Linked DNA regions of Lytechinus pictus. The protein of the gene in region 2 purifies or fractionates together with the protein of the main gene of each other region. This does not show direct contact. Links are inferred from orthologs where the notes say so. Each region holds a gene or a part of one and is shown on either strand. Other genes may lie near its edges.

Region 1 (7,917 bases), on a different chromosome or scaffold from region 2:
TAGGAAAATCCATACATGTGTCTCTTCTATATATGGGAGGCGGTTCAAGGCTTCGTGATCAAATGACAATATCAAAATCACAATATGATCATGGAGTCCTCAAGGGCAAGGCTAGGCCAGCGCACAAGCTGCAGATACCGGCGGTAGGCCTATCTACTACTACTGAACCCAGAGAGCTCCGACCCTCGGCCGCAAAGCAGGTCGGAGCCCAGGACTCGTCCGTGTAATATTAGGCAGATCAATACTCTCCAAAATGGGGAAGAATGGGGTCTTCTTCTTCCGTTGAGTACAGTCCTCTTTAGACTTTACAGAGTATAGTCTTACTTTAATAATAGCAATAGCAGTAATAGCACTCCAAATAAAAGGGGAAAAAATAAATCATGCACTTATCGATTATAATGGAAAAAGGTCTATCGTGACACAGAATCCTGACATCGAGGCACAAACTGGACCCTCTAAAAAAAGGAAAAGTTAGACTGTTATGTCGCGTTCGTTCTCTGTACCGATCGGCCATTTTGTTTTCAATTCAATTTTGAAAGGAGAACGAACGAGACAGAACTTTTCCCTTTTTTTGAGGAATGAGGGTCCAGTTTGTGTCACGATAGACCTTCATCCATATAATCGAGGTAAGTGCATAATTATTTTTTCCCCTTTTATTTGGAGTGCTATTGCGACCCCATTCTACCCCATTTTGGAGAGTATTGCTCTGCCTAATTTACACGGACGAGTCCTGGACTTGGGGAGTGTTTCATCAACATTTTCATCCGACAAGTTGTCAGATCTGACATCTTTCTCTGATGTTGATTGGCTGAGAGGTTCTGTTACTATGGTAACTGTCGGATAAAATGGGACTTGTCGGATAAAACGTCCGACAAGTCCTTTCATGAAACGCTCCCCCCGGGCTCCGACCCGCGAAGCCCACTTGTTCACTGCAACCACCCTGCCTGTGGGGAATCTACAGGTTGGACACCCATGGGTTCATATCGTCTCGCGTACGAAGGATATCAGTCATATGCACGCCACACACGACACATCCAAAATATACTGGGCTTTTGCCCACATAAAATATCACGCATAATCTGGTATTTCACATTCTGCTATGACACTTACCGAATCATTTAGATCCTTCCGTGACTTCTCCTTGAAGTTTCTTTTAAAAAATATGTATATTTTCTTGATCTTTAGTGAAGATTTCATGGAGATAAAAATTGGTCAGCATGGATATCAATATTCGCCTGAAGAGGGCGCGCGATTTATATTCATATCAAAGACACGACAAGGGAAAGACTAGGCACCTACACTATTTTACACGCAAATGTACGCAAGGCATTACGCGAAGTCCGTGAAGTGTCCAATCTTTTCATTGTATAGACTTTGGTATAGTGCCATATTATTTGACGTTCGTTAAAGCTTGTACTGCTGGTTTCGTTCCAGGCATGTGTATTTTTTTTTTTTTTTTTTTTATCAGTCATCATTTTAAATTAATTGCAAAAAAGTGTTATCATCGCCAATCTTGAATTATGTTTTTGAAGGTATTTCATTTATTGGTGCCCATAATTAGTAAATTAATCATAAGAATTGCGCATTCAAAGAATTTAGACACAGTTATAAAATTACCGAGGAGCTGAATCAAGGTTGTGAAATTTATTAGCGCCACCAACGGGCTTCCTTGTATTTCCGTAGAAGAGACAAACGAAGTCACTTGCTAGGCCGAGGTAAGCAAAATTTGCTCTTTTTGTAATGAAATTACTTCATAATCATATGTATAATTTTTTGATGTATTACTATTGCTACTTATCGGAAAGAGCCCCGGTGCGTAGCGAGAAGGAGTTTCGGCAAATATTACTTCAGCAATGAAGTGATGTTTGCCGACTACTTCGAAATCCAGGGTCAAACACGGTCCCTTGTACGAGGTTAGTATATATACTAACCTCGTATTAGTGTGAGTGCAAGTTGGACTATGGCTAACCCAGGGAGCTCCCGCCCGCGTAACAAAAATGGCCGATCGAGACGGGGGTAGAAGGAGAGAACTTTTCGTTTTTGGAGGTTCCAGTCTGTGCCCAGATGTCAGGAAACTGCCACTCGTTAGACCTTTATCCATATAATCGTGGTAAGTGCATAATTTCTGTTTTCACAATTCATTTGGAGAAATATTTAGACCATAAATCACCCTAGTCCCGTGAGTATGGTAAAATACACGGTAAGCCCCTGGGCTCCGGCCCGCACAGCGGGCCGGAGCTCCCTGGGTTAGACTGTCTATGGCATGTCAATGCTGTACAGAGTCGGAGCACACACTTAAAAAAATGATTAAAATATCACTTTTGTGACCAAAATTACTAATTTCTATACAGTTGCAATTTATTTTTCATTAGTAACTTGGGAATAATTTTTGTATTCACTAGAGCGCACAAAAAACTTGAATTTTGGGCATATTTTTGTGTACGCCCTCTATTGGTGGAAAATAATATGGCAAGAAAATTTTTGTTTTTTTATCTCTATTTTTAATTAAGAAAAAAATAATTTAAAGAATCAAATTTACTTAAGCCAGGCTTAACTTCACTTGGCCAAGTTGTATGACGAATAGGTGTAATGGAATCTGTCAGTGTAAAAAATCAAGCATTTGTCCCAAAGAAAAAGAGAAAATAAGCCAAACATTGCCATCGTTATTTTGCTACACATGGTCATGGAGATATATAACTGAGAACAAGGTTATATCATAACCTTGTTCATTGATGATTGAATGAGTGGCCTGGCCCTGGGGCTGGGTTACTGGAATCTGGATGGTGACTGCGCTGGATCGATCTGGAGACGGAGACAAAGCAACGAAAATTCTCGCAGCGTTCTTTAATACTTTTGAGCCCACTTCTGTAATTTTCAAGCCTTTAATAATATAATTCCGTATTTTTCATTTGCTGTGCTATTAATAAAACGTGAAATACTCACCATTTTGTAAAGGGCCTCGGTTGCTCTGCCTGGCTTGGGCTTGGCCGTATTCTTTTTCGAGTCTCGCGCGATTGCAAATAGTATGGAAGGCCAATTGTATAGTATAGTAGAATGTCCCACATAGCTAGCTAGGGCCATAGGGGGTCGGACGTACATATTTTTATGGGATTGCCCTTCTATATGATAAATTGGCAGATTTTGCATTTTGCAGGGGCCGCGGAACGGTTTTCAAAGTGGGGGGGGGGGGGGAGGCTGAGTATGCTAAAAATCACAATCATATGGTCATTTTTACGTTTTAATGTACACGGTTTTGGAAAAAAGTGGGAGGGGGGGGGGGGCTGAAGCCCCCCAGCCCCCCCGGTTCCGCGGCCCCTGTTTTGGAATGGTGCCCGATCAAAATAGAATATCTGCGTATCGTTTATGTAAAACACTTTCTGATATCCTTATAAAAAAAATTGAATGGTATACCATTGAAATACCATACACCATACACCATTGAAACACCATTGATATACCATTGGAATACCATTCGCACAGCACCCATCATACACCAATGGTATACCATTCAAGCCCCAATGGTATACCATTCAAACTAATTTAAATAATTGGGACGTTACTATTACCATATTCATGAGCACCATTTACCAGTCATATACCATTGATCAAACACCATTCACCATTGATCTACCATGGCCACTATAGACAGGTTTACCATTGACCACCATTCAGCCACCATTCACTGGCCTACCATTTACCATTCAGCCACCGTTCACTGGACACCATTGGTCTACCATTCACCTTACACCATTCACCATACACTGTTGACCTACCATTCACCGTACACCATTCGCGTACCATTCACCGTACACCATTCACGTACCATTCACCATACACCATTCGCCTACCATTCACCGTACACCATTCGCGTACCATTCACCGTACACCATTCGCGTACCATTCACCATAAACCATTCGCCTACCATTCACCATACACCGTACACCTACCATTCACCGTACACCATTCGCGTACCATTCATCGTACACCATTCACCTACCATTCACCATACACCGTTCACCATTGCCCTACCATTCACCATACACCATTGACCTACCAATCACCGTACACCATTGGCTTACCATACACCGTTGACCTACCATTTACCGTACACCATTGGCCTACCGTTCACTGTACACCATTGTCATACCATACACTCTATACCATTGGTCAACCATTCAATTTACACCATTGGCCATACATTATAGACCACAAGTGTACTGTGAATGGTAGACCAATGGTTTACACTGAATGATAGACAGTAGACCAAAGGTGTACAATGTATAGTAGGCCAATAAAGTACAGTGAATGGTAGACCAATGGTGAACAGCATATATAGCTTGGGTTAATGGTAGGTTTGGTAATGGATTAAGTATGCACAAGAAAAAAATGATGAAAACAGTTATTTCAAGAACGTCAAATGTTTTTACTATAAGAAGTTTAAGTACAGCATAAATGGAACACAGCATTCACAAGTATAGACTTTATAATTAAAGCACATAAGTTATGAATATATATGACTTTGCTCCTCGTTGACATCTATACTCTGTCAATCTTGGTATCTAAAATAAACATGTATCAAGACAGAGTTTAATTGAAAAACACAACATATGAATAACATTTCCAAGAATAAACATGTTCTCTCTGATGGCTTTTTACGTGGATTGAGTACTTGGCAAAACCACTGTTCTGCAAACAAACCTGATACTTGTAATACAATAACCTTGATTTTAAATCTGTTGTGTGTAATTGCTTTCACACAGCTACTTCAATGACATTAATAAAATATTTTTTTTACTAATAAGTTCAAGTACAAAAGAGTGGAACCCAGTATTGACAAGTACATGTATGGCATAAAAGCACCAGCATTATGAATACATGTGACTGCACGACTCTACAAGAGGTCAATGATTGCACTCCACATAGATATTATGTTAATCTTCCTATAAACAAATCTAAATGTAAGACAGAGTTTGGACAACAAACTGATGAACACCAAATTTCGAAGATTAAACTCAAAATGTGTGATAGCCTTCACATGGCCAAATGATTAAAGGTAAAGAGTACCAAACTTAGAGGAAATAAATATCCCCAAAAGGGGGGAAAATAGTACCCCCATAAAAATAGAACCTCCTAATATTTCTCTATTTTCTTTTCACCTAAAAGATATATCAAATGGCGTGTTTCTACATAGAATCGTTAAAAGGTATTACCCGCGTAAGTATCCAGAATCCCGGAAAACTTTCCTGTAGAATTTTGTAGAAACAGACGCGATGCGGTTTATTGATAAACTGCTTCAAGCAAAATATGGTTTCTCATAACCATCTCTGAGAGGTGGTTATTGCCATGTTAATCCGTTTAACTTTTCTGTAAAAACACACGGCAAAATAGCGTATCGTGTCTGGCGGAAGTGCTTAATCCCAAAAGTGCAATTTCGCAGTACATAAATTTGCACATTCTGGCCTTTTCGATCTCACCAGCTGATCGTGCAACACGTATACCTGCTACATTGAGTGAGATCTACCACAAATTTGGAATATTTTCCTAAGAAGATGCAATTTTGGACATATGTACAATGCAACGTGAGGTTATAGGTTGAATTTTCCGATTTCCGCCGTATTTGCAACGCGAAAAGCGAGTTAATCAGATTATTTGGTTTGTAGAAGCAGGTTGGTTTAAGGGCGATAAGGTTTTTCGAGTCCGGAAAAGATAAATCCTTTTTTAATGATTTTCTGTAGAAACATGCCAAAAGTTTATCATAAATACATTAAAGATACTTAAAGGAATAAATAATATCTATATCAAAAATAGAATATATAGAATAATAGAATAATAAAGAATATATCATGAAAATAGAAAAAAAACAAGAAAAATAGCGACATCTTTTTTTAATATTTTGCAAATCATATAGAAAATAATTCTTAGTAGCACATCTATTTTTTAACTATTTCCCATTGTTCAAATATACAAGATTCCCACTTATTTATTTTTTGTCTATTTTTGTTGTGTTGAATCAGATGAATAACTCAACTATGTGTGAGAAATAATATAATTTTTGTCTTACACAGTATATCAGTAGTCAATCGTAATTTTTTACAACCTAGCTTGGACAAAATTTGAATTCATATAATACAAAAAAATATATAAATTGGGATCTTGTATATTCATGAGGACTTGCAGAGAACAGTTTTATAAAAAAATAACAACTTTAATTCGTCATAATTTTGTTAATCCTCATTCAATTTTGATGAAATTTTCAGTGTTTTTTTTTGTCTGATGTACTCTTTGAATTTAAATCACATAACTTTCAGTCTAGAGTACCTAGCCCTTCAATCAAATGGGTTGGACGACCGGTTACATTTTACATATAACATAGTTATAAGGAGAATGAAGGGTCCATAGAAAGAAAGCATGAGGAAAGGGAAGATTTAGGTAGGAAGAGAATTAATCAGAAAAGCATAATGTTGACAATTTCGTTAAAATCTGATAACAAAGTCTTTGATTTGAAGGTTTAGCAACATTTTGGGAAAAATTACTGGAATGTGCACATGATCGTCAGGAATATGTGTTAGGCTTATGTTATAAAATGAAATCATAATAATTTCATATTTTCGTACACGTGTGTATGATATGTCCCACGTAGCATAAAATGATTTCAAGCAATGCATGTGTTTACATTAAATAAATCTTCACTCCACTTTTTAGTTCTTGGAGGTCAAAATATGAATAAACATGACTTCTTGTTATAAAATACAAAAGAACAAGTGGGAGTATGACATCAGCTTGTTAACTGTGGGTGCGTCGTGGTCTAGTGGTTCTGACTCTCACCTTTCAACAGAGTGTCGTGGGTTTGAATCCTAGCAATGGTGTTTTCCTTCAGCAACACATTTATCCACTGTGCTGCACTCGACCAAGGTGAAGTGAATGCGTACCCGGCAAGATTAATTTCTTGCAGCTGTAATAAGGAATATGGGATGAAAACAATGCAAAGGACAGTATGTCAGCTACGGGTTCAAAACATCAATGCTCGTGCGTGCAAGCTTTCTTGAGAAATTGATATATTTTTCTAAAATATCGAGAAATTTGCATAATACACTACCCTTCAATTGAATAGTACCAATTAGCAAATATCAACAAAACATTTTGTACAATATGATAAAGAAATTCATGTTTAACCATAGATTAGCAGAAAATAACCCGTTATATTAATGGGAGGTTGCCCAAATGATGACAAATACCATACCACATGCATACCTGGGGCCAAAGTGTCCACTCCCCCCCCCCCGCCAGCATATTGATTTTTTTCCAGGGGGGGGGGTGTTAGAAAGGACGTGTAATCCTATAAATGGGGATGACATTTGGTCTTTTTCAGTATTTTTACCATTCCTCACAATTTTTTTTCCAGCTATGACACTGCAGGAGTACAATCTGTTTTATTTAATGAAGCTTTGCAATTTTTTCCACTGAAGTGAATTCTTACACAATTACCTTTCACAAACTCCAGTTGTTTTCTTGTAAACGGTTTTCTGTGTTCAACACCTGTAGTTTCCTTCCCAGATAATCCTGGACCATCTATATTATCATCCAGTGTATCCGTCGTCCAATCTTAAATGAAATAAAATCAATTTAAGTGTTGGAAAATATGCATGTGCAGATAAAAACAAAAATATAATACTAATATAGTAAAACTTTCTTTAAGCTCCAAAATGCAATGATTCACTCATATACAGCATAATGATAATTTTTATTTCAACATATGCAGCAAATTCACTTGAAAATATGTTTGAAATTGATGTCACAGAAATAAAATTCCCCCACCAAAGATTTTCTGTGTGTGCATGCTGGAAATATATAGATCAATATAACACAGTTACTCTGCTGCGTAACGTGTTTTGATCAGCAATCATGTAGATATGCAA
Region 2 (7,366 bases):
GATATACATTTTATTTTCAACCTCGTGGTGATAGCGGATGCTGCCGTGAACTTTGAAAAGTCGTACTATTGACGGAGCTAATTGCGTTACTCTCTTACATCGTTTATGATGATTTACATTTTATTTTCAACCTCGTGGTGATAGCGGACCCCGCCGTGAACTTTTAAAGATCGTGCTACTGACGGAGCTTATTGCGTTACTCTCTTACATCGTTTATGATGATATTCATTTTATTTTCAACCTCATGGTGATAGCGGACCCCGCCGTGAACTTTTAAAGATCGTGCTACTGACGGAGCTTATTGCGTTACTCTCTTACATCGTTTATGATGATATACATTTTATTTTCAATCTCGTGGTGATAGCGGATGCCGCCGTGAACTTTGAAAGGTCGTATTACCGACGGAGCTCACTGCGCTACTCTCTTACCCCCTTTATAATGATATAAATCTTCTCTTCAACCTCGTGGTGATAGCGGACCCCGCCATTAATTTTTAAAGACTGTACTATTGACGGAGCTTATTGCGTTGCTCTCTTACATCGTTTATGATGATATTCATTTTATTTTCAACCTCGTGGTGATAGCGGATGCCGCCGTGAACTTTGAAAGGTCGTATTACCGACGGAGCTCACTGCGCTACTCTCTTACCCCCTTTATAATGATATAAATCTTCTCTTCAACCTCGTGGTGATAGCGGACCCCGCCATAAACTTTTAAAGACTGTACTATTGACGGAGCTTATTGCGTTACTCTCTTACATCGTTTATGATGATATACATTTTATTTTCAATCTCGTGGTGATAGCGGATGCCGCCGTGAACTTTGAAAGGTCGTATTACCGACGGAGCTCACTGCGCTACTCTCTTACCCCCTTTATGATGATAGACATCTTCTCTTCAACCTCGTGGTGATAGCGGACCCCGCCGTGAACTTCAAATTGATTTGAAAACGCTAGCTACCCAAAACATTTTAATAACATATTTCAAATCAACGTGCGTGCTTGCGTCGTCTACTTCATTTTAATTGCACTTGCGACTTTAAGATGATGCGTCGTAAGAGATCATTCCAATAATTCTAAATCGCTAGCACCTAAAAATACTTCTAAAAGATGTCCCGCCGATCGTTCATTAACCTGTGATCTATGAGAAATATTTTCATTTTATTTTCCTTTGCGCCTTCGCTCGGAAGATGCGTCTTTCGTTTATCTTTCTAATAAAAATCACTCGGTTATTTTAAAGCAATAACACCTCAAAACCCCTGGCTTCAAAACATGTTCCAAACGATCGCGCATGTTGGCGACTTCCATTCCAATGCATTCGTCTTTGTGACTTTGTCAGGAAGATGCGCGCGACCGCGAACAACATTTTGATGTATTCCTTTGTTTTTAAACATCGCCGATTCGATTTTCGATTCGATTTCGATTTTAGAAGCTTAACTGCCGATCCGATTTTCGATCTGATTTTTGATCCGATTTACAACATTAGTTATACATGTAGAACCCTGTCATTTAAAAAGTTTAATCTTTAAAGGACAAGTCCACCCTGGAAAAATTTTGATTTGAATAAATAAAGAAAATCAAAGAAGCATAACGCTGAAAATTTCATCAAAATCGGATGTAAAATAAGAAAGTTATGTCATTTTAAAGTTTTGCATATTTTTCACATAACAGTGATATGCACTACTCAGTGACATGCAAATGAGACAGACGATGATGCCATTCACTTACTATTTCTTTTGTTTTTTATTGTTTGAATTATACAATATTTCAAATTAACAGATTTGACAATAAGGACCAACTTGACTGAACCATATATAGTAAAAAATGCTAATTCCACATGTTCAGGGAGGAATCAATCATTAATTCACTTGGCAATGAGAAAAAAATAGAATATTTCATATTTCATATAATGAAATTCAAAAGAAATAGTGAGTGTATGACATCATCAGTCTCCTCATTTGCATACCGACCAGGATGTGTAATGTTTTGTGAAATTAAGCGAAACTCATAACTTTCTTATTATAATTTTTACATCAGAATTTGATGAAATTTTAAGTGTTAAGCTTTTTGGATTTTTCTCTTTTTATTCAAATCAAATTTTTGTTTGGGGCGAACTTGTCCTTTAAAGATATTATTGTTAAACATGCTTTGGCTTCATTGTTTGTTGAATATATTAAATTTATGAAAGCAATCTTTAAGAAAACTCTGCACTGCACTGGGACATGCAAGGTTTTCATCTTCATCACCGCACTCACTGTCAGGTTTCATCTTAAATGCAGATAGATCGACTAGATTTAGGTCCTAATGGAATGTCTTTTTAACATTTAGATCTAACAGTTTAGTTTTTTTCAAAATTTTAATAGCTTAAGCCAAATGGCAAAGGACACCAAAAATAAAATGAACATGCAACTGCAGAGACAAAGCATTCACTGTCATCCAGACAATAATTTGTACATCAAACATAAATCAATGAAAATGATCTCATTTGGTTAAATGGTAAGGAAACAATCATCAAATCACAATTGATCAATGCATATTTTCATTTTGCAACAATGTCAATAACAATACTTAACAATCTCCGAGTCTGACTTTTTTTACTTTAATTTTACTTTTTAGTAGGAATTGATGAACAAACTGAACAAGTATTCACTGTCTAACTGACAATTCCATATTTACATAATCACAAAATACGACACATCGTTGTAAAGAAGAATAATGATAGATTTCGATTGCACTATTTTTGTAATTCAGAGTGAAATTCATGTACAACTCAGTAACAAAAAAGTAACCATCTGCCGGCATCGCTTATTAACTCAAGTGGATAACTACATAACTTTGCATATGTGGGACTGCGTTTGAACAAATGCGTGCACTTTCAATCGTGGGGTAGATTTATTATTTCTCACCTTGTGCATCCTTCCCTTTACTCATTTTAAGTTGAAATGTGATGAATTTCTGAAGAAAGGATTGATCGTGATAAAACTTCAGACATTTCCAGTTGCAGTCGCGTCGATGCAGACGAGAGATTACAATTCAAAGTTTCAAATTTCCCGCAAGATCGACCTAGCTACATGGGCGCGCGCGATGCATTGCGTAATCGTAACATGATTTTGCCAAATCTGGGATGATGCCTGGATGATGGTGATGGCGATCAAGAAAGGAGGAGAAGAAGAGGAAGAAGAACTTAAAGAAGAAAAAGATGAAGAGGAGGAGGAAGAAGAAAAAGTAGATCGAGGACCCGGATCGAGGAGAAAGAAGAATTAAGATGTTATAAAAAAAGAAATAAAAATGAAAATGGGATGGGGGAAGAAAGCAGGATCATTTCAAAGGAGAAAAGGAAGAAGGGTCGACTTTGTTTTTGGATGGTATGAAATTCTATTCAGACTGGAGGTATATACCCGGCCCCGAAACGTTATAAGTTTAAATGGATATAATTATCTACATGTAGGTACATATATATTTGTACTATGTAAACACTTTAAAAATGGAATGTCATTGCTCAATGGGTCACAAATTACTTTATATCCCAACAATTCAGTGTGATTAATATTCATGAAATGTAGTCTATAAAATAAACCCTAACATTCTATTGACCCCATCCAGGCCCATCCCTCACTCAGTATTGATTGTAAGCTTCTGCCAATACAGCTGGCAAGTTATGCAAGTGCTTCTTGATCATCAGAACTTTCATATTATTTAGCCTTGTTTTTTATGAAATTCTGAATTCATGTATGACAGGCCAAAACCATTTATCTTGTGTGCAGCGAGATCCCATGGGGTATGTGGAAAGTGAAATCGTCCGTTTTTTTTATCCTCAATATATCCTTGCCACTTATTGCAAGTTCTTAAAATATATGCGTTCTCTCTTTTAACTCTCTCCACCCAATGAGGAGTTCCTCAAATTAGCCCCCCCCCCCAGCCCCTCCTTTAATTCCCTTTCTCTCTTCCTCTTTAATTCTTCCCTCTCCCTTCCTCTTCCCTACTCCAACTATCTCTCTCCAGGGGTGGGGGGTCACTGCTTTTGAAGAGTGGACAGCATCTGCAAGAATAGTACTGAAAAAAAAAATTGCCTAAACAAGGATTGGAGGGCAGATGTCCCAGATTTGAACACTCTAAACAGGGATTTATGAGCAAGTGTTCCAGATTTGCAAATTACTCACTCGCATTTTAGGCCACTGTGATTTAGGGGGCCTTTTTTTCCATGCCTTTCTCCGAAAACACCCCTTGTTCCGTGTTTTTTCTCGCTAATGCTGTCCACTCTCCGATGGCAGTGATATGCCCCCCCCCCTCTCCCTGGCTCTCTCCCTCTCTCTATCCCCTTCCACTTTTCAATTAACTTGCATACAATTATAATCATCAAATAGAATAGAAGTTGATATGAAAATTAATCACAGGTGACCTTTTTGTATTCTATACATGTAATATGAAATATTGCATTTTTTTTTTAAGATTTGACTGTAAGGGTGCTCTAAATTGAATCACAACAAAGGAAATTACACATAATCATGGAGGAATTGCAGCATGTTTGATATAACAAAATACAAAATAGTGCATGGCTAAGGTCATCAATAATCTTATTTTGCAATTTGCATATAATTGCTATGTCATGAAAATTTTGCACATTAACATTGTTGGGGTGGACTTGGCTTGTAAAGTTCCCCTTTTTAAAATCAATCGTTATGCCATGGCAAAGTCTAATCAAGCATCTAGAACCATGTATAAACCCTTAGCAAAACAAGAGAATTTGATTATCTAATTATGATGGAAAGTGTTACTATCTATACTTAATTCTGTGGATTATTATTTCTCACAATGGAGAACAAAATAATGCTTTCTCATATCCTCACATACTCTTCAATGAAATAGCCTGAAAACATTTTTAAAGTTTATATTTTATTGCAAATTTATAACAAATAAATAAATTGGGAGGATGTTTGACATCATCACAAAGAAGAAAGTTTAACAATAATCTGTGCTGTTTAGTAATTGATTTTATGAAAGCCAAACAGAAGAGTGTCTGGACATCCACCCCTCTCCCCCCCCCCCCCTCCCCTTAGTTCTTAAGGCTCGAATATATACACCATGACAAAGCTCAGAAATAATTTCTGGTTAAAGTCAATTGGGATAACATGAAGCAAAAAATGTCAATAAAGCAGCTATAGGATGAATTATTGTTGTCTGGCTCAGTGCAAAGAGCTACAGTATAGTGATATCATTATTCTTTCCAAAAACAAAAATGATAGTTGAGGCAGATCGTTTGTCATTAGTGGGGTAATTTGTTTCACCATGTAGTTGAATAAGAAATGGGGGTTCTGTGCACCATCGGAGAACATTTTTTAACGAACTTTTCGTATTACCTGAAGAGTATAGTAAATTAATCTTGATGTTCCCTTTGCCAAATCGTGTCCCATGGGGTTCAAAATTGGTAATTTCGACAGTATCTTGGATTTTTCATGAAAACCAATTATTTTCATATTTTTTTACACAGACAATGGGAAAATCTTAAATGAATACGCTTCTTACTATGATTCATATAGTGGGAATTGATTACAATCGTTCTCTGGACAGCCCGGTTGTTATTTTTCGAAAGCCAAAGGGAACGTCAAAATTAATTAACTAGTCATTTCAGGCAATACAAAAAATTGGTGAAAAAAAATGTTCTCTGATGGTGCACGGGAACCCCCATTTCCGACTAAACTAACGTGTGAACACTATATATATATGGAAAGGGTATATAATTCCATTTGAAACAATCAGAAAAGCGAAACAAGAACAATGATCCTTGGCAGACTATTAGCTTGAATAAGGTAGTTTAAATCATGTGAAGTCTAATACGGATTTCAGATGAGCTGATCTTTTGTCTTCCCATTTCTCCTCCTCTCCTACTCCTCTTCTTCAACTATTCCACAGACCACATATTATCCTTCTCTTCCTCATCATCTTCCTCTTTCTCCTTCTTATGCTTTTCCTCTTTTATTTGTCATATTGTTCTATTAAATCCATCTCCTCCTTGTTTTCTCATTGATTGTCATCTCCTCCTTCATTTTTCTCTGTGTTATCCTCTTCCTTGTTCTTCCACTCTTGCTCCTGATACTTCCCCATCACTGGACATCCAAATTTGCTCTTCTCAAAGCTAAGAGTCCATTTACAATATCTTGAGGCAGCATCCGTAACTGAGCAAACTCTTCCGTATTTGAATACCTCAGCTTGGTGCGCGGGTCTGTGTATTTTGCCTGGAAAAGAACATTCAAGAGTAACACATCATATGTGAGACAATTTTTTTGAAAGTACAATTTTCTAATTGCATTTTCAATGTAGTAAAAAATTAATGGTCGAATTTGCTACTCACAATGACCCCTATTCATAGTACACAAAAAGAGTAACTTATTTAATTGTGTTTTGAATATCATACCTCTTCTTTGTTAGGAAGAGTAATTCACAAATATCGTACTTAACAGACCCCCTTTCCATATATGAATATCATTTCACTTCTAATATTATCAATAATCATCCCAAATAATAATGTCACTTTTATCAAATTTTAAATAGTGACCATTATGAAAAAGTATTTTTTATGGAAAGTAAGTATACATAGACCCTAATTCAGGTAGTGATATTCGTAAATCCTAGCAAAGTCAAAAAGCATCTCAAGAGAAGTGTCACATACTTGTGAAATTACGATGAATCGATAACTGAATTCTAGAGATTATTACTTACTGGCAAACCTGAAATATCAGAGTATTTCTTTGGTGGTTTTCTTGAAGGTGGTGCATCAATGCTGCTATCTGTGTTAATGGAGAAAAAAAAACATGTGTCAATAGTAAATCCATTATGTAATATCTTTCAGTTTGTTTTATTTCTGCATTCCAGCAATCAAAGAATACAGAAATATATGGTTTTAATGTGACCTTGTGGTTTAAAGTTCAGAGAATTCCACTGATCAGTGGTTTAACTGTTTGGTACATAGATATATGTGGGTTCTGTGTGATGTAGTATTGAAAAAGTAGTAGTTTTATGTCAAATACTCCTTCCTTCCTTTTGTTGTTGTTGTTGATGTGATTTAGCAGTCCTTTATGTGTAGAAATGGTAGTGTATAAGTTGGAGAATGGTTGTAGATTACAGCTTGGATTAGTGGTGTTTTGGGTGTAGTTGAGTAGTGGTTTTTAGCCCAAACACAACAGTCACACCCTGTCATTAATTTGATTTTGTCCAGAAGAGGTTTTATTTTTATGAAATGTCCATTTATTCAACCTCGACCTCTATAAGCAATCATAGTCACAAGTCAACGTTATTACTAAGATTTGTGTATCTGGGTCCCTTATGTAATAATATCCCTCTAAAGGGCCCTATCTTTGTAACTTACATGTT

Evidence for each region. Proteins that work in one complex are often made in the same cells at the same time.
Region 1: the proteins of homologous-pairing protein 2 homolog (region 2) and meiotic nuclear division protein 1 homolog purify together in Homo sapiens (co-immunoprecipitation; 6 studies listed by BioGRID and IntAct, counting the BioPlex papers as one, with this or other methods). This does not show direct contact. The link is inferred for Lytechinus pictus from reciprocal best matches to the Homo sapiens genes PSMC3IP and MND1.

What each region holds. Positions count from the first base shown.
Region 1 is NC_087246.1:19,389,929-19,397,845, reverse strand, and holds the start of meiotic nuclear division protein 1 homolog, read right to left. Parts: upstream 3,018-7,917; 5' UTR 2,947-3,017; coding exon 2,944-2,946; intron 1-2,943. UniProt on the Homo sapiens protein: Required for proper homologous chromosome pairing and efficient cross-over and intragenic recombination during meiosis.
Region 2 is NC_087257.1:29,332,414-29,339,779, reverse strand, and holds the start of homologous-pairing protein 2 homolog, read right to left. Parts: upstream 3,100-7,366; 5' UTR 2,930-3,099; coding exon 2,905-2,929; intron 1-2,904. Other genes in the region: mucin-2-like, read right to left, coding at 6,100-6,231, 6,716-6,783, 7,362-7,366. UniProt on the Homo sapiens protein: Plays an important role in meiotic recombination. Stimulates DMC1-mediated strand exchange required for pairing homologous chromosomes during meiosis.